Drosophila melanogaster: one gene and its partners. The protein of the gene in region 1 interacts with the protein of each later gene in a pairwise test. Each region holds a gene or a part of one and is shown on either strand. Other genes may lie near its edges.

Evidence for each region. Proteins that work in one complex are often made in the same cells at the same time.
Region 2: the proteins of Prosbeta5R1 (region 1) and lectin-30A interact in a two-hybrid assay, tested with the Drosophila melanogaster proteins (one large-scale study listed by BioGRID).
Region 3: the proteins of Prosbeta5R1 (region 1) and CG15459 interact in a two-hybrid assay, tested with the Drosophila melanogaster proteins (one large-scale study listed by BioGRID).

The regions. Positions count from the first base shown.
Region 1 is NT_033778.4:23,305,425-23,313,616, forward strand, and holds Prosbeta5R1 (proteasome beta5 subunit-related 1), read right to left. Parts: upstream 4,393-8,192; 5' UTR 4,305-4,392; coding exon 4,155-4,304; intron 4,099-4,154; coding exon 3,301-4,098; 3' UTR 3,230-3,300; downstream 1-3,229. Other genes in the region: HP1Lcsd (heterochromatin protein 1L chromoshadow domain), read right to left, coding at 7,623-7,874.
Region 2 is NT_033779.5:9,253,399-9,258,936, forward strand, and holds lectin-30A (lectin-30A), read right to left. Parts: upstream 1,457-5,538; 5' UTR 1,434-1,456; coding exon 762-1,433; 3' UTR 678-761; downstream 1-677.
Region 3 is NC_004354.4:20,411,664-20,417,848, forward strand, and holds CG15459 (uncharacterized protein), read right to left. Parts: upstream 1,919-6,185; 5' UTR 1,835-1,918; coding exon 1,778-1,834; intron 1,609-1,777; coding exon 757-1,608; 3' UTR 678-756; downstream 1-677. Other genes in the region: CG15458 (uncharacterized protein), read right to left, coding at 2,171-2,299, 2,362-2,424; Obp19a (Odorant-binding protein 19a), read left to right, coding at 4,106-4,174, 4,235-4,402, 4,478-4,681; Obp19b (Odorant-binding protein 19b), read left to right, coding at 5,082-5,265, 5,331-5,553, 5,924-6,008.

The DNA.
Region 1 (8,192 bases):
CGATGCAGCATCAATGAATAAGAATCATAACGAGGTGCTCGGATCAGCACAGCCAGCAGTTCCTATTGCCATATTGATGATCAAACTCCGCTTACAATCAGTCGGTGAATTCTAAATGCATATTGACAAGAAATCCTCCTTTTTAATCGTTTAAACTGTTGCAAGCGGCAACATATCCGCTTTCTTGTTCAATTCCCTACACTGACGTACAATAATTGGACCCATTTTCAATACCCATAATTAACTCGCTTTGAGAGCTGATTTCCATAATTGCTTTTTTCACTGGGCCGCCAACTAATTGCTGTGAATTTCAACAGATATGCGACTAATGTGCAGTTGCCGCCAAAGTAGCAATAATGGAGAACACACAACGGCACCATCTAGCTGCAACATCGCTTTGCCGCAGCGGCAACACCAACTGCGACAACTGCAGCAGCAGCAGCAGCGGCGCATCAACAACATCTGCACTTTGATGTTGCCTCATGTTGCACAAGCAGCATGCTCAGCAGAGGGGGGGATTCGGTGGCGATTTAGGTGGCTCAGGGGGGCTTAGGGGTACCTGAAGGCAAGGAAAACTGGCAGCCCAGAGCTGATAAATTGGAAGTGCATTTGACGCTGCTGGCGGAGAAGATGTTGCTGCTGTTGCACTGCAAGAAATACCTTGTCAACTTGTACAAGGAAAATCTATTAGAATATTTCTTATGAATAGGTACTTTCTTACATCGATACCATGACAATCAATCTCTGAACCATATGAATCATCAAAACCCCCTCCATTTCTGGGCACTATTAAATATTGCTTAAATATTTATATATATATCCCCTTCAGTTTTTCGCTGTGCACTGATTTTGTTGTAGCTGCTGCTCCTAATATGGGCGATGATGTTGCATTTGCATTTGCATTTGCTGCTGCTGCTTCTGCTGCTGCTGTTCTTGTTGCAGTTGCAGTTGGCCTGGTGTCGTGTAGCCACCCATCGCCTGCTGCCCCTCCGCAGTCGGTTAATGAAACTGCCAAACGAGGCATCGCTGCCACATCCGCTGTCTCCCGAGCCGCCATCTATGTGTGTGTGTGTGTAGCTGTTGGCCAAGTGTTGCTGCTGCAGCTTCGGCCGGTGACAGGGGCAACATCATCATCACCGGCAGGCAACATCCCTGCCCACTCCGCCAGTCTCCGCCCAGCGAGCAGTCACGCTTGCTTGTCAAACACTCTGGCAGACTCTTACGATCTCCGCCGTCTTCGGATGCACCTCCTCCTCCCCCTGCTCCTCCTACGCCGCTCCGTAGCAAAATCCATTTGCATATTTGCATCCTTATGCCTGACAGTTAACGCCCCCCTCCGGACTTTCCACCTCTTGCAAGCGGCGCGCTTTTAACGACAAAGTGTGAAATTTCATTGAATTTGAGCTCGTTGACAAAAGTGGAATGGCAGCAGCAGCAGCAACAACGCAACAACTGCAGCAGCAACAACGCGCAGCAGCAACATCGCAGGTGTTGCAGCTTGTTGTTGCTGCCGCTCTTGTTGTTTGCAAATTAATTTAAATTATGGTTGCTGCGTTTTTTTTTTTCGACAAGCTTTTTATGCCATATTAGCTGAAGGCTGGGGCGAATTTTGTAATGGAGAAGGAAACCAGCTAATTTGGGAAAATCGATACTATCAATTAGTTTGCGTTATTTTGAAAACAACCACTTCATTATTGTATGCTAATATTTCGCACAGCGATTTTCAGTAGAGATTGCAGCCAGGTAGTTAAACTGAAAATTTTAATTTTAAGTCCACTCTTTAAAGAGTAAAACCTTTGGCATTTTAAAATATTAGAAATTTAATACACTTCTACGTTTTGTTGTTCAACGCGTTTGGAAAATTTGTGCGTGGCCACTTCTTGCCACCATGGAAGTAAGTACACAAATCTAGTGCTGCCGGAAAATAGTTTTGACCCATTAACCCGGGTTGCAACATTTTTTCCGCCACTTTTGCTCCACTTACCCGCAATGAGGATTTTCCGAACTTGGGCCACACGGCTTTGGCTTTAAGTAATTTTCTAATGACACCACAGAGGAAAAATGACTCTCGAGGACGACTTGGGGGCTGGCAAGTTGTCTCCATTCCCCCCCAGTTTTGCAGCTCCTGCTGGCGACGTTCATTAGATTAAAAGCAATTTACAGTAAAACTTTTTGCCACAAAACGCCTTTTGGCCCGATGTTGCTCCGCCTCCCTTCCAGCCCCCCCACAATCCAGCTGTTTCACCACACGTTCTGCAACTCACATGTGCCCAAAACGCCGTGCAAATGCTGCCACCACCAACTCCTTAAGCACTGAGAGAAAAGTTATAGTGCATAGCACAAATTATATATCTTACAAAAATACCGTTCTTGAGAGTTATGTCTACTTGCACATCATTTTGTGCATTTGATATATTTGCTTAATAATATATTTAATATTCGTATTTCCTCCGTGTAGTCATTTGGTGCTCTTTCCTCTTCTTTTGGAATTCAACAAATTTGCGGATTTGGTTTGTAATTTATTAAATTTATCGCATGCTCAGAGCGCCTTAACAGTCGTGCAACGAGGAGGAGGAAGATCCCGATGAGGATGAGGACGATAATGGGGATAAAGATGAGGATGAGGGTCACCACCCAGTGGGGCGTTTGGGAGAGAATGACCTACGCCTGCTAATGTCTGCGGTTGCGCTTTTCCGGCGGGGGAGGGGGAGGGGATGGGCAGTGAGGAGCAGATCCCCCGGACGGAGTCTCCAGGCAGTGGCATCTGCAACATTTGTTGATGACAACCCAAAGACACGGAGTGCAACATTTCGGCGAACATTTCGTTGGCCGTATTTTGTGTGCGGCACGCCCATTTGGGGAAAGTCATTGCGAGCTTAGAAGTTATTATTTTGATTTATAGGAAAAGTTCGTTTAGCGAGCGAAAGTTGCTCGTATATTTTCCGCAGTGGAGGATGGAAGAGAGGGGAGTTTGAGGAGTGAAAAAAATTAGATAGAAGCACAGCTTTTAAAGTGTGGCGAGTGCGGGGCGAAAGGCATTTGTATGTATGCAGCTCTTGTTTTCATTATTAGTGGCTAAAACTTTGAAATGTATCTGTATGTGTGCTTTTAGAACTGAAGAGGATTAGATAGAACAATCCAGCATACGGTTCGGAAAACTATTCTCACGATAAATTCCGGACTTCTTCACTGCCACAAATTCCCATTACCATAAACACTAACACTTTATACGTTTTGCACGACAGAAGTTTTACTTCCACAGAAATTTTTGCTAATGTTGCTCCAATAATTTCCAAATTTTCATACCGTTGCCAGCTTAGTCTGCAAATTGTCTGCTGTGATATTCTTCTTCGTCCAGCCACTGGAACAGGGCTTATCATTGTCGGGATCGCCTACGTTTCCTACATCCTTCTCGTTCCCCGGACACCCAGATGCGCAATACGAGTCATGGAGATCGGAGCAGTCCGTATTGCAGATATTTCGCCAGCCCTCCGAATGAATGTGGTAGAGACGCACGATTCCACCAGAATAGGCATCCTTACTGGTCGCATGGTAAATCGCTCGCCTGGCCAGGTCATAGGCCTCCTGATCGGAGAGATCATAGCGGTACCCAGTGTCCAATACGCCGAGCGCATATGGAGAACCGCTGCCCACGGAGAAGACTTGACCATGGGATCTCATGCCCTCCGAGTCCACGTAAATCAGCTTGGGTCCCTCGTCGTCGAAGCCGGCCAGCATCATGCCCATCACCAGACCCATGCCCTTGTACTCCGTGGATATGTTGCAGATGATCCGGGCAGCCGTGTCCACGGTCATGCGTTTCCGATAGCGCAGCTGGTGCAGGCGACACTCCTTAGCCAAAACCCGATCCCAGTAGACGCAATCGGCGGCTCCGCCGGCCAATGTGCCCAGCATATAGTCGTTCAGCTCGACTATTTTCCTCATCGTCTGGGATCCAATATACTGGCCAGAGGTGGCCCTAGAATCAGCACACAGAATCACTCCTCCGCGATACTTGAAACCCAGAGTGGTGGTGCCGTGATCGAAATCCATGCGAATGCCACAGTGCGACAGGATCTTGGGCAGATTTTCAGCGGGCTTGAGAAGAGTTTCAATCTTAGATGGATCTTTTGGATTATGAAACCTATACTAACTCTTTCGAAGGGAGGCGCCATCAGTTCGTAGGGATTCTCAAAATTACTGGTTGCCTCGCGAAGCTGCTCCTTCTGCCATTCGGACTGCAAGTCATCGAAGCGCCGCATAAAAGGCATTTTATTCATGCCGCAAATCGCTTCCAGAGCCATTATGTGTTCAAAAAGAGTTTATTATTTCCAATAAATAGTTTAGTGTAATGTGTAAATGAGCACACTAAACGAGCTCGAATGATTGTGGAGTTAAGTCTCTAAGGCATCTTACAAGTGTATCAAAAATGTACTTTAATCAAAACAAGATCACAAGATCAGAAAGCTGGACATCTTGTTCCCATCAAAATATCGCATTCCGCTTGAAAGTTTCGCTCCACTGGACAATCCGCAGCGGCAATTCGCAGTCTCCGATTCCATTGGCATTTCATGGTTAGTGGGTGAGAGTGGTCGCAGCGGCACTTTCGCCGGCCACCCAAGTGGAATCCAATGGACCTTCTGTGGGCAGTGGCAGTGGCAGTGGCAGTGGCGCCACCGCAGAGATACACGACATTTTAATTGGACTGCCGGGCAGGGTCATCATCGCCACCTGCCGAGATGCGAAATTGGGACCAAAACGAGTGGGGAATGGCATAGAAGGTGCTTTCGCAGTGACCACGCCCACTCGCAGGCGGTGGCAAACGGATTAGCCGCTAATTAAAGGCCAATTGGCAATGTTTGCCAAACTGTTTGAGTCCGCGGGTCGACTGGCCTGATACCCCCCGTGATATATGTCCCATCCCAGTGGCAGTCGCAGTCACTCCGGCTGCTCCCACTGCCTCCATTAGTGGACGCCATGTGTCACTGATCTAAATTTATGCAAATTGCCGAGGACTTGGCCTCCGCATTCCCCAAACCACCGAATTCCATTTCCCATTCCCCATTCCGCATCTCCCATCCGCCACATTGGCACATTTCATTTTTGCACGCGCTTTCCATTGCAGCCTGCATTCCCCCCGCCCTTCGAATGGAAAACTAAGGGGGCGGAAGCAATTCGGAGAAAGGCGGGCTGGAAAGGAAAAATCGAGGCAAAAGAAACGAGCTGGCTAAGCCCTTCATCCAAACATACCCTAACTATGAGTACATGAAACCACTCACTGTTATTTTATTGGTCACGAAGCATAATAGTTTACTGGACTATCTAAATGTTAAGTCTAAGTATTAGTATTAAGTATTATTTAAGTATCCAATTGGATACTTAAGGTTTGTCGGTATATTTTGTATATATTTATTATATAAACTTTAGATTGCTGTAGGGTATTCAGCTTATCAACAAATATGACAATTCTTTCGCAGCGCTGCAGTTGCTGGATAGTTTTGACAGCCAGCTCTGATTATTAAATCACAGGGCAGGGACAAACTGGAGCCGGGGCAGCAATCTGATATGCAAAATCTCGTCTAACCCAGACGATGCTACTCCACCAGCTCCTCCTGGCCACCATCATCCTGCATCCCGAATCCCCATTTCCCCCTCCCTGCCCTGCGCGGCATCTGTCCTGCGTTAATTACAGCCCAGTTTTGTGCACTGGCAACAACTTGTTAAAAATTTCCGCTGCCAGTTTATTAGAGGGCAACTAACTAAGGCAGCGTAGTGGAAGAATCTGGCCATTCCCTTCGCTTTTGGCCTGAAGTGGCTGGCAGATTACTCAGTCTGAACCTGTTTTAATGACTAAAATGACGCCAAGTCAAGAGCGAATAAGAGATTAGGCCAAACTTGAGCTTCCCGTCTGCGAATCGTTGCAGCGCTGGACCAAGAGCACGATTTTGTGGCATCGGATTTAGTTGAGAGCCAAAATAATAGCCTTTTATTCGGTGCATAGTTCTTAATTATTTACAATTTGAAATCACATGAGCCTTATTATACAATAGATGAACTATGCAAGATGAGCGAGTTGCTTAATAGACACTAAACATTGAATAACTTTGCTCTCAATCCACTTAGGCAACTTTGCTGAGTAATAAAAAATAAACCACCTTGTTGACAAGCTTAGGAATATTCCCCGAATCTTTTCAAAGAGTTTCTTTTTAAGCTCTCGAATTACAAAAACGAAACTCCGCCGAGAATTGTTAAAATAAAATTCAACTAAGGCGCACGTAAGCAAAAAGCGTTTTAGGGACTTTCGCCGGCGAATATTTTATTTCACTTTCGTTTTATTTACTTTTGCCGCTTAGCATTATTGTTTCAAAATCCTTCAAATCCGTTGTTTTACTGCTTATTGTTCGCCAACTCAGCCCACCAACTTTGTTGCCAGCAACTTTTAAGCTTGCTTAAGGCGCCCAACCAACCAGACTTGCCTGCTCCCAAAATGACGCAAAACTTTCCCATGACTGGGGCATCATACCCACCACCCACCAAGCCACCGATCTCAGTGAGCCACCCAACCACCGCCGTCCAATTTGTAGTTCATCATCTGTCCCGCGGACCTGTCAAAGCCCCAAAGCTGCCCAAATTGTGACAGAGCGACGGTCGGCGGCGGGGGATTCCCCGAAAGCAGTTTTGACATTTGCGTTTAATTTATTTTAATTGAAAAAGGCCCGCCAAATGGATTAGGCCGTCGTATTCACTTGCGGCCCAGACTTTTCCAAAATAATGCACATCAAAAAATCAATAGTAGCTATCATTAAGCTAGTTTCCACTCAAATCTCTTTTCGATGACCTTCAGGTTAAGTATTCACCTGAAGCATATACAATAAAACACGCTTTTCTAATTTCCATTCAATTTACATTAAATTTGTCTACGTGTGCTGCTTATGAAAAAGTTGATCCACATTGATCCGCCGACATCAAAGTCAGATACAAACCAGTGGGGCAAACTACAATACAATATTTGTACGCCAAACAAAGTGCGGGATTTTACGATGATGCATTAAATTAAAAACTTTGGCCTGAGAACAGTCCATTAGTCGGGCAAAAAGTACACGAAGTCCAATTGCAATGCTTATTTATGGGCCAGATTAAAATTTTATAAATGGAAAGTAATTCCCGAAGTGCGGCCATAAAACAAACTCCCCGGCCAACCGCTCAAACTTTTTCATCATCTCGCCAGGAATCGACATCTTGAGGGGCAGAACTTCTTGTAGGTTTTAACGACTAACGACTTTGCATTGGTTTTCATGGCCAGAGTGCCGAAAGCATTCAAGTTGGCTTTTATGGTTGACACAACATATTTGCCGGCATTCCAAGCCAATTGCCAACTCTCACATATCCGGAGATACGCATCCTAATTGTTGCGCTCCAGGATTTTATGGTTCTTTGAGAGCCATTAATCCGAATTTGATATCTGCCTAATTAGTTTTCCCTGCTTGGCTTTTATGGCCAACAGCGTCGTAAATTTTCATGATCGATTCGAGCGGTAAGGTGCGAAAAGAAAACTCCGCCCAGACGATAGGCAACCAAAAACAACGTGTTTCGTTTGCTGCATAATTGAATTTAATTATAAATCATCCATCCTCGCTGGCTTTTCTCTTTCTTGGATTGCCTTTCCGGGATTCGGGCGGGGGCAAGGATAGGTGGTCCATGTAGAATTCGATCACCATTTGGGGAATGCGTCTGTTGGCCTCGATACCTGGAACCACTTCCACCACGGGCGAGTCCTTGAACTTTATCAGAAACATCGTATTTTTATTCGCTGTCGTAAAAACGTAAACTATTTTTTCTACCATCCTACCCCGGACAAATGGCGTGCGGTCCATTATCTAAAAGAAAATAAAACAGTATTACTTATAAGTTTTCTATACCGGGAAAGCACCTAAATTCAACACTTTAGGTTGAATGCAAAACTCTTGCAACACTGGGTCGTTGACTTTGAGTCACATGGAATGTGCCGGTGCATCGTCGGCACAAACTTTTTTCTTTCACGCCGCCAAACAATGCAAATGCACTTTGATTGTTGTTGACCAACAAACAGGCACGCGTCCATCGCAACTCCGTGGCGGCAACAGAGAAAAGTGGCAATGACCAGGGAGAGCTGCTCATGTGAATGCCACGCTTCTGAGTTTTGGGCCACGGCT
Region 2 (5,538 bases), on another chromosome or scaffold:
TTTGAAAGGGGAATTCCAACTACCCATTTGTTAATAATGTAACGGTAATAGCATCTTATTATTATAACAAAATACAATATTGGTATATTAGTATTATTGAATAGTAATAATTGGAAAAACTAAAGACTTGCACACTAGAGCGTATAATAACGTAAGTGAAAACTCGAGATATAATTTTGCATCGTATGTGCGGAGGTATCTGAAATGAAAAGCCCCAAAAATTGGAGCCGCAATCCTATTAGTCCGTTTCGAAATCTCGCCCCTGGTCATAAATTGCGCTCTGCTCCACATTGTTGGATGTTTGCTATCTGTCTCTGCTAGTTGCACTTTGGCTGCCACAATGGCAGGATTCTAATAAGCGTGGGTGGCTATGGGTGTGCGAATGGCCCACAAATCAAAAGCATTTTTGTCACCATTTGGGTGGCTTCCTTGTGGAGGGGCGTGGCACTGGCCGCCCTTATTTCTGCACAGAACGTGGACACGTCATGTGTGTAAGGCATTTTGAAATACCAAGCACCGCTTTCTGGGCACTTGATGGAAACCCCATATGGATTGGCCTGGTTTTGTACTTAAGGGAAAATATTTTAATTTTCATTACCCAATAATCTTAATGATCCTCTTGGCTGAGAAAACAGTTATGTACTTCATTTTTGGGCTAGTAAAATAAAAAAGACAGTAGGCTCATAACTTTATTAAAAGCTGTCGGTAAATTGCCGAGATGCAAAATGAAAATAACTTAATTTATTATTTTCGCATTCGCATCAATCCCACTGCTCGGCTTGACATATGAACAAATGGGTGTTGAAACAATTTTCATTGTACATTTCCTTGTTGTATACATTAACGCAATCGAACTTATTGCCCCTTTCTTCTTTCTTCCACTTAAAGAACGGCGGCGATCTGCCGGTGAGTGATGATGCAAAAAGGCCGTTCTTGAACATAGCATTCATATCTATCCAAAAGACGCCGGCCGGCGCTCTTGAGAAGATCTCATTAAACTCCTGCTCATCCCTGATGGTGGCAATGTGACCGCCCAATTGACGACAGGTGTTTGAGGCGCCAAACCAATTTTGTTTGTTTTCCTTCTCAATGTAGAAGCGTCTTGTGCCCATTCTCTGGAAAAGCGCCGGATTAATCCTGTGCGAGATTCGTAGTTTCTCGAGAGTCTCCACACTCTGGTTGCCCATTATGGTCTGCAGCTCGTTCAGTGCGTATGCCAACTTGCTTTGCATGGCCATCAATCGTTCTTCTATCGATCTTTCGATCCTCACTATTTTCTGTTGCATTTCACTTTCCTTCAGCGCAATGAATGTGAACCATTGTTGTTGATTTATAGCCACTTGATCAATTAGCAGCGGATTTTCCGTTTTGTTAGCGAGAACATCACGAGAAGCCCAGGCTAGAATGACGCATATAAAACAATACTTGAACATGTTACTATGTATGACCTGCTAGTCCCAATCCTTAAAACGGACTGTTTCTGGATGTTAACATCTGTATAATGAAATAACAATCCGCATCTAAAAGCATATTAAAGCGTTGAAAACGGTTTACAACGTCTGGCAAATACATAGGTTATTCGTTCTAAGCAGGTGTATAACTAATAAAATTTATTAATACAATTTATGGCTTACCAATTAGGAAAATCTTTCTTGATACCGTACGTTCACCGCACTTTTATGATAGTCGCATAATTTCGGCCTTTTCTTAATTAAGTTGATGGGCTAGAAGTTTTAATTGGCTTGATGCTCGTTCTTGCCTTAAGCCACAAAGTGGATGAACCTAAAGGTGGGTGGGCTCTACCAAACGTCATTACCAATCGATGGCTGTGGGGAAAAGGGATATATCCGAGGCATTCATCCAGACATCTATCTATCCATCCATCCATCTATCCATCCGAGAGCAGATATTTCAGCAGCAGCAACGACAACGAAACTCAATTTGCGCCGGCCAAACGATGCGTTGAGCATATAAAATGCAAAGCGGAAGCGACGTTCATGGATAGATTACACAACTACTTACAAATGTGCGTTTAAGCACCCAACACCCACCACCTACCACCCACAGCCAGCCATATTTCCCATTTCCAACGCTTTTCCTGCGTGTCTGCAACTGTTGCATATTGCAGTGCGTGCGCTGCCTTTATTGTCCCGATGTTAATGGAAACACCTGCTGGCGGCGGAGAAGTCAGCCCCGGAGTCCGTGAACGAGTGCCAGTCATTGTCAGGGGAAATCTGGCCGGGATTGCGGGGTGAGGTTGACTGTGGAGCTGGTGGTGTACAGCCGCCCTTAAGCTGCGTCATCATCTCCATGCCGGATGACAGTAGACGGACCGAGAATGGCATCTTTTGGGAGCGCTTTCAGGTAATGCCGCCGAGAGATCCATTTTACAAAGTGCAGCCAGTAAAAGTGTTTCTGTGTCAGCTGTTGATGGTGCCCAGATGCCCTGCTAATGTAAACGTGCCACGAGGGACACAAATTATAATTATGTTGAACTCTGATACGGCATTAATGGAAGCTCCCATGCATTGATCCACCATTGTATTGATTGCTATCCAATATACCTTATAAGCCCCATTGCAGCCGTATTACTATAATTTATATTGATATTTTACCTTCATGCTTTATAATATTAAAGTTGCTTTGACTTTTCAGCATTTTTACGTTTTTAATTAGAACAGCTAGCACGTATTGAAATTGGAATACCACCACTACGTTTTAGTTTATTGATGTTAGCTTAGAAACTCATAAAAAGCGGAGAAAATGAAACAACATGTGCGTAAAAAAATGAACCCTAGGGAAGTTCTAGAACAGCAACTACCCTACGAAAAACCAAGGCAATCGTAACGAGTTTATGTCCCACCGATATAGTTCCAACCCTCCAGGTTAATGAGCCCCGAGTGGGGGAGCGGTTCAATTGAATTGTGTGCCGTAAGTTGGACAAACCCAATTAAAATTTCGACTGCCCGTTTTTCCGGCGATAAAGAAAGAATAGTGCTGGCCACCCCATTTACAATCCCCTTTGCACAGGTGTTGCACAATTCCACTCGTTCCCGGGCACTCGAAAGTGCACTTTGTACTCACTCAAAATTTACTCCAGTCTGGCGCGTTCCACTTTCACACGTTCCTCGTGGACTCAACGTGCGCCTTGGCATATGCAACGCATTCAGTCGCTTGTGGGAGGCAGTTGCATTCGATTGCCAGCACTTTCATCAGCGGAAAAGCCAGAGAGCAGCTAATAGCCGGACAAAGAGTGAGAAAGCGAGAGCGGAGAGGGAGAGGCAGAACACATTCGCTGGTTGGTCTTGGTCTTGGTACCACTCATTCGACACATTTTCCTTCAGTTTTCCCTCGGCAGCGATACCAGCCGTCGCTTACTTTTTCGTTATTCTGTTATTGCTGGCCTTTGTTTATTAGTGCGTGTCTTCGCTGCGAGCGGTTTTCGTAATTGAAACGAGAGCGACATAATTAAATTAAAATATACTCGCACACAGTAGCGCACTAGCATCGATAGACGGGCCAACTAATCACATTACCAGCCATCAGACATCAAGCCACCAGCCATCAGGCCATCGTCAGTCGGAAACCGAAACGCAGACCCGCAACACAAGACTCACAGTTCGCATTGCATACTTTTTGGCGCGCATCGAAATAAACACACCAATACGTACATCAATACAACACAACAACAACAAACACATTCAGGCTCGATTGCTGCGTGAGTGTGAGTGTGCCTGTGTCTGTGCGAGAGTGCCTTCTAAAGTCGCCCATCCTGCGAAGCGACAAAATTCATCAACTCTTGTGTCTGGTGAGTTGACATAAAAGACAATAGAATTGCTGGCAATAAAAGGCAAAGCTTGAAGCTAACAAGAAAATTCCGGGAAAAGTGCCTCGGGCTGGTGAATGTTTTGGCAATGTTGGTGTGAAAATGTCAGACTAGATCGTGACCTTTAAGCTTCTGATCATTAAAGGGGTTACATATTTTCTGTGAATATGCTTTTAAAAATGATAACTGGTGCGAATAATAATCTGCAAAAGTTTTTGGTCCAAATGTTTTGTAATATAAAGAAAACTTGATGAAATCATGAATATTTAATAATCATCCAATATTCTATAGTGTACTTTAAAATAACGTAAAAACGTAAAATGCGATTACACAAAAATAATAACATTATTCTCATTTTATATTCAGAATTTAATCTCATCATTGACCTACGCCATAAACACTTTTATATCAACTTGTACAAGATATTTTTTGTGGCTGTTTTCCACTTGAGTGGTTTTAAGTATCTGGAATGAGAGTCCCTTTCATCGTAGTTATTAATGCGATAAATTTCACAGAAATGCTATGGTCATCGAATGTCGTGAGCAATTTTATAATTTGGTAAAGTAATGGGATTTTTCGAAATTATGTCATGCTAGTAATGATAGTAATGCTACTCGTATAGTTCAGAAAAGAAGCTTCTAGCAAAGTGGACGTAATGACTCCATTAAAAAAAGTTCTCTATTAAGAGAATGGAATATTCAAACTTTGTGATGGGCCATTTAACCAAACATCCGGGATGTTTGTGTTAACACACAAAAGTTGGTCATATTACTGATGAGGAAAATATATAACGTTTAATGGTCAACGTTAATGGCTTTTCTTTCGCACACATTAAATGCACGATCTTACTTAACGAATAATAGGATTATGATGCAGAAGAAGGAGGATATATTAACCAGAAAATTTCCTTATCGATGTGAAACAAGTGAACCGAAATTTGCATTCATCCGTGGCCCACTGAATGCAATCACTTAGTCGACACCACCCATACCACCCACTTATAATTCCTGCCCATCCCTGACGATCCAAACGCATCTGTGGTTAATGTGCGACAATTGTTCGATTTCGCTGCTGCTGCTGTCTGCAGTTGCAATTTACTGCGCTGTAATTGTTTTACGTGCATGCATTAATTTTTTGAAGAACCACTGCAATTATGGGTCGTTTTTTTTACTTTTATCAATTTAAAAACCATTTTGATTAAACTCCATGTCCTCGTTGGTGTTTGGTTAAATTGAACACATCATTCTTGTTGGCATGCTAAATTGAATGATTGAATTGCATGTGCATTAAATACGTGTTGTTTTACCTCTTTTGAGGGAACTCCTCCTCCAACGACCCATCGAAAATCGACTAAGGCAACGCAATCACATTCGCTAACAATTCGCATTTGTCGCGCCTCAATTATAGTGGAAAATATTTGCATTCCAATGCATGGGAATGGGACGCGTGTGGGGAGAGGGATATTTGCCTACGTGCCATTCGAAGGATTTCCCGACGAGGTCCTTTAGGTAGGGGCTTTGACGTGGGCTTTTCCATTTCGCATTGTCCACGCTTAAGCGCGGAAACGGGAATTATGCATGTTGCATTTAATAATTCATTAAATGAGTGAAAAAAATTAAACACGAATGCGACGTATTCATTTTGGTTGGTTTGGTGTAATGAATGAATAATAATGGCATTTTTTATGCAGCTCGTCCTGCTTGGGGAAATTC
Region 3 (6,185 bases), on another chromosome or scaffold:
TCTCCCAGCAGTTTACGGTCCACACCCACTAGGACACACGCAGCCTTCAAGTTAAACCCACTCACGCGACACGTACACATATATACACGTATAAACATATATTTTAAATTAGCACTTGAATCGGAGCAAGACGACGAATCGAGCGAGAGAGAGAGAGAGACGGCAAGCGAGGGAGAATGAGGAGAGAGAGAATGAGAGAGCGAGAGAGAGAGAGAGACGGCGAGAGAGCGAAAGAATCGGTCGATCGCATAATGAAACCAAAAAGCAAAACGTTAAAGTTATTTCCATATTATATTATATATACATATAAATTTAAATATAAATGTTAGTTGAAGTCCACTCATAATTAAACACAAGGCTTAAACGTTAGACGCAACCCAATTGAATCCAATCCAATCCATTCCCATCCATCTCGAGTCCGAACCCCGCCCAAAACAGTTAATAAGCTACGTAATTGATATTGATAACCCCGAGAACACAAAGGGGCTAAAAACGTTTATAATGATGATCTATTTAAAAGTTAGATGCCGCAAAGAAAACTCTATCTGAACTAAACGGAAGCTAAATAAAATACTTTATAAAGCAATTGCCCCCCGTTTAATTTAGTATCTTGCAACGACTGAAAGAAATGGATCCACCCGGGGGCGCCAAGTAATGGATTGTTAAAGCATAATGCTGAGATAAAGAAGTTCTTCGTATTTATTTTAGACTAAAAATTTAGCAGATCTCTTGAAGCCTACGCCCAGACCTAGCCAACTACTTTTCATCGCTGGTAAAGGACAGGCCGGAAGTGAAGCCATCGCTGAACGCGCTGTACTCCGCCTGCTCCTCCGCCTGCGGCTGGTCGTCGGCCTGTTCCCGGCCCAGTTCCTCCGGCTGTCCCGAGGCGTTCTCTTGGCTGCCTGTGGGCACGCAAGAGCGCGGTGCCGTGCGGCGCTTTAACGGCGTCTCATCGTCCTGGCCGTCGTCACGTTCATCCTCGTCCAGCTCATCCCGCGAGACTTCCACTGCGGCTGCCTGAGCTGGGGAATCGGAAGCGGTGCCGCTGGTGTTGACCGCCGCATTGCCCAAAACGGCTCCCACGACTCCTCGCAGCACCCTGTAGAAGGCGTCGTGCACCTGACCCATCACTTGGCTAGCCGGACGCACTTGCTCCGCCTCGGGCTGTTTATACTGTTGGTACTGGTTTGGCGGCTGAATCTGCTGGCCTCGCGCCCAGCTGCTGTGGCTGCTATGCTTCACGGCTCCCTCCGCCCGACGCTGCGGCTCCTCGCAGGGACACTTGCGCCGCGGAGCAGAGCCTGATCCTCCCGATGTGGGCGGAGGTGGTGGCGGCGGCGGATCGTCGCGACAACCATTGTCATCCTCGCCCGCCGCCCGGCGCTGCTGCTCGCGATCGAACTCGGTCATGGCCCGCTCCGATCGCTCCCGGCAAACGGAGCAGTCGGGATCCGCGCCGTAGACGCCAATGTCGCCATTGAGGGACGACTCGTGGTCCGATTCGCAGCTGCACTTGCCGCTGGCCAACTCGCCGGTCTTGCCGGATCCGCGGCGCAGCTTGTACACGATGAACAACAGGGCCAACGTGGCGTATGTGGCCTTTGCCACCTGCGAAATGGGTCATAGTATATGTATTTGTAAAAAATGTATGTAAAAAAATGTTAAATTAATAATTTTGAATTTCAATTTGGAGCTGAAAATAATATTTTGTGTCCATCAACAGCTCCAAAGCGATGGTTCATTTTATCTTGTGTGCGTTCAATAGAATCACTCTTACGTTAGCGCGTCCATTGATGGTTGTCCCATTGAAGTACTTCTTAAAGCCGTCGGCCATTGCTACTGGACTGGATCTGGAGATCTGGAGATCTGGATTTGGGGTCGGGTCCGGGTGAGAGCTGAGTGTGTTCTGCCTATAGCTCCGAGCGAGAACCTAATGACAAGCAGCGAAGTGCAAAGCTCGGCCAACTAGATTACAAAGTCGATTCATTGGCAGGATTCGATTTTTATTGACTCAACGAGGTGGTACATGAGTTTGGTCCCCAAGCCTTTAACTGTGGCATCGAGGACCGGAAAGGGGGTGCTGATTATAAATAGTTATGGATTGCTGACGGGTCGAATGGGTCGGAGCGGTGGGGAGCCATGACTTCAATGATTTGGCAGCATCGGCGCCCTAGCCATGGAGCATGGCCTGCTGGCAGCCCTTGCAGTAGAGCTTGGTCTCGCGCCGCTTCGTGTTGCGGCGGTGCATCTTGACCAGGACGTAGACGAGTCCCAACGAGGCCCAGGTGGCCTTGGCTACCTGTGGGTTTCGGTGGCGTATTTGGGCGCATCTTGTGTACTGCCGTGTACTGAATCACTTACATTGGCGCGACCACGCATGGTCTGGCTGTTGAAGGCTTCGTTGAAGTTGAAATGATCGGACATCTTTGGATCGTTGTTGACCGGATTGGCGTGGCTTTTAACAAAAGATTAAAATTTGGATTCGATATTCGACCTGTATTTTAGACCGGGATTCGGATTGTGACTTTTAAACGTTCGAAATGAAAGGAATGTTACTGACAGTCGTCAAAGCCGACTCGGGTTTCCCAACTAGAGAGAATGCTGAAGTCTAGTACCGACTAATGGGATACCCATTAATTACTGCTTAAATACTGTGATGAAAATTGAGATATGCAAGAGGCAAATCGAAAGTTTTGGACATTTTCATATTGTACCTTTAACCAACTTCAGAATTCATTGAGCTAAATACCATTTACAATTTTATGAAATTTTTAAGCATGTTACAGCTATAACTATTTTTAAACCAGTTACTAGATTCGTTGAAAATTGTATGTCACACAGAACTTCTTGCCATCCTGGTCGGAATTAGGATCACTAGCCAAGCCGATATGGCTATGTCTGTCCGTATGAAAGTCTTGGAATCTGATATTAACATCGCATATCGATCGACCATTATATATCTAATATATCCTCTACAAATGTATTTTATCACCTAGCTAGCATGTAAACATTCTGGCCTATTTAGCTGTACGCTTCAGTTATGCTAATGCAAACATAAGCCTTTTGTGATATTATAATTTACATTTATTATTTATTGCAGTTAGCTTTATCAGCGATTTGGGCTCATGCCACACGCAATACTACTTATTTCAACGTCATCAGTTGTACTAAATGCACAAATGAAATACATTTCGCCAAATAAATGCCAACTTGCAACTAATTTGAATGCTAATCAAACCGAACTACTCATTTGCATACAAGGTAATAGGTGGTTAAAGTGAGTGTAATGGACTTACTTAAGGGGTTACAAGGCTTATATTTAAAATGCCTGCCTTGTAATTAAATTTTTAAATATATTGGAAAAAAATGGCCACTTGTTATGTGAGTCTCCAGAAAAAAAACAAAAAAACAGCAACCATCTGGTATGCAAAATATCTGGTGGTAGCAAAATATCTGGTGGTATCTGGTGGACTATCAAAATATAAAAACTTTTTTTTCCAGATAGTATATCTTAAAATCAGCATCTTGAAGGAGTATATGTAAATAGCAAACTATTTGTAAAAATAGATTTTATTTTATAATTTTTTAAGATATATACCAAACATTATTACCGATTGTGATTATCTTTACATTGTTTGACCTCAAAACGGAAAACTGGATGCGCGGTATCCATGCGACCCTAACTCTGGAACCGATTTTGGAACCGCCCCGTTAGATCTCAGATTGAAACCTTATTTGCATTCGCATGATCGCTGATGAACACTGGGGAAATGCGGCCCAGCAATGGGATTGTCAACGCATCTCGGCCAGAATCGCGCCTCGCATGCCACCTCGCACGGTGACCACATACCTGTGTACACTGTCAATTAACGTGGCAAGATTATAGCCCGGCCAGAAAGTAATCCGCCCCAGGAACACCACCCACCGCCCGCCCATTTGGATATGGAAATGGGCAGTGGGGGCGGCGATTGGCGCTAACCCATAATTCCCACACCCACTTAGCGGTTCGATCGAACCAATATGAAGTCATTTGCATGTCGGGGGCCGTGTATAAAAGGAGTCGCCGATGGGTCTGGAGTCTGGAATCCGCCAAATCGTCTCGGAAATGAAGTTCCATCTGCTGCTGGTCTGCGTCGCCATATCCCTGGGACCAATCCCCCAGTCGGAGGCAGGGGTAGGTCCTTAAGCTCTTCTCTCTGCCGGAGGATGCCTCATGGATACTGTCCACTTGCAGGTGACGGAGGAGCAGATGTGGTCTGCCGGAAAGCTGATGCGCGACGTCTGCCTGCCCAAGTATCCGAAGGTCAGCGTCGAGGTGGCCGACAACATTCGCAACGGTGACATACCCAATAGCAAGGACACCAACTGCTACATCAATTGCATCCTGGAAATGATGCAGGCAGTACGTATTAAGAAGTTTCCATCGGCTGTGTTGGTTACATTATCAGCTCCTTCTTTCCGCTCTGCTCCTGCTTAGATCAAGAAGGGAAAGTTCCAGCTGGAGTCGACCCTCAAGCAGATGGACATCATGCTGCCGGACAGCTACAAGGACGAGTACCGCAAGGGCATCAATCTGTGCAAGGACTCCACCGTCGGCCTGAAGAACGCCCCCAACTGCGATCCCGCCCACGCCCTGCTCAGCTGCCTGAAGAACAACATCAAGGTATTCGTGTTTCCCTAGGCTTTCCATCCGAGGCTGCCAATGCGATACCAGATGCGTCACACTTTGGCATTCGGAACAGGTGACTCCGCAGCAAATAAAGTAGATATGTATATCTCTTGTCCGCAATCCTAAACCCACACCCAAGCCCAATCCCCTGACCAGATGATCAATAAAAGCTAGCCGGAGGGCCCCGTCATCTGTGCTGTATTTTAACTGGGCTGCGATGGATGGACGAATGGGTGGTTGGCTGTGGTTGTGGTGGGGCTTGCATGATCCGCCCCAGCAATGTCATGGCTATCGCCGGTTGATCTACATCCGAGGCGATTTGCTTGTACCGGATGTGCTGGACACGATTGCGGCGGGTATAAATTGCCCGGCGCCGATTGCTGTCCGTCCACTATTCACAAGAAGAGCAAAAATGATGCAGTGCAGCCGAATGACGACGACGTTGAAGATGACGAACCTTCTGCTAGCAGTGGCCTGCGCCGCCGTGCTGATGGGATCGGCGACGGCGGACGAGGAGGAGGGGTCCATGACCGTGGACGAGGTGGTGGAGCTGATCGAGCCCTTTGGCGACGCCTGCACGCCAAAGCCGTCGAGGGGTAAGTGCACCGTTGGGTTACTCACCCATCCTACCATACCATTCCATAACATACCATATCCGCAGAGAACATCGTCGAGATGGTGCTGAACAAGGAGGACGCCAAGCACGAGACCAAGTGCTTCCGCCACTGCATGCTGGAGCAGTTCGAGCTGATGCCCGAGGATCAGTTGCAGTATAACGAGGACAAGACGGTCGATATGATCAACATGATGTTCCCGGATCGCGAGGACGACGGCAGGCGCATCGTCAAGACCTGCAACGAGGAGCTAAAGGCCGAGCAGGACAAGTGAGTGTGGTGGGGCAATGGAGGACCCTAGTGTCTAGTAATTGTTAGTCCAGCGAAGTGTATTCCAGATGCGGAGTGAATTTACTTCAAAGCAAAAACTTGAAACGGTTCTAAGGCGAATTTTTCAGTCTTGCTGCATTTCGAAAATATTCTGCTGTATTCGAAAGAAAAGATAAGTGCCAGGAGTTTAAGTTGCCGTGTGTTTTGAAGAACCTTTTCGTACACTTCTTCTCAGGAAGAGAGTTTCAATATTTTGGAATACCTTTTATAGGTGGCCAGGCAACTGTGCTCCCAAAAGCTTTAAAAATTGTTTGAAATATTTTTAAAGTATTTCTGAAAAGGATCTTATTTGTTTTTGGTTTTTTTTCAGGTGCGAGGCAGCCCACGGGATCGCTATGTGCATGCTGCGCGAGATGCGCTCTTCGGGCTTCAAGATTCCCGAGATCAAGGAATGAGGCCATGGAGCTGCTCGCTGGCCCACCATTGCATGTTCTCCCTCCCTTTTTTTTTTGTTAGTGATTCAGTTCGATTTAATTACCAAAGCTAGAGAACTTGGAGTGGTTTCCCAAACTAATAAAGCGCCCAACCAACAAGTTACGAATTATGCATATTTATCGGGTGGGAATCACATA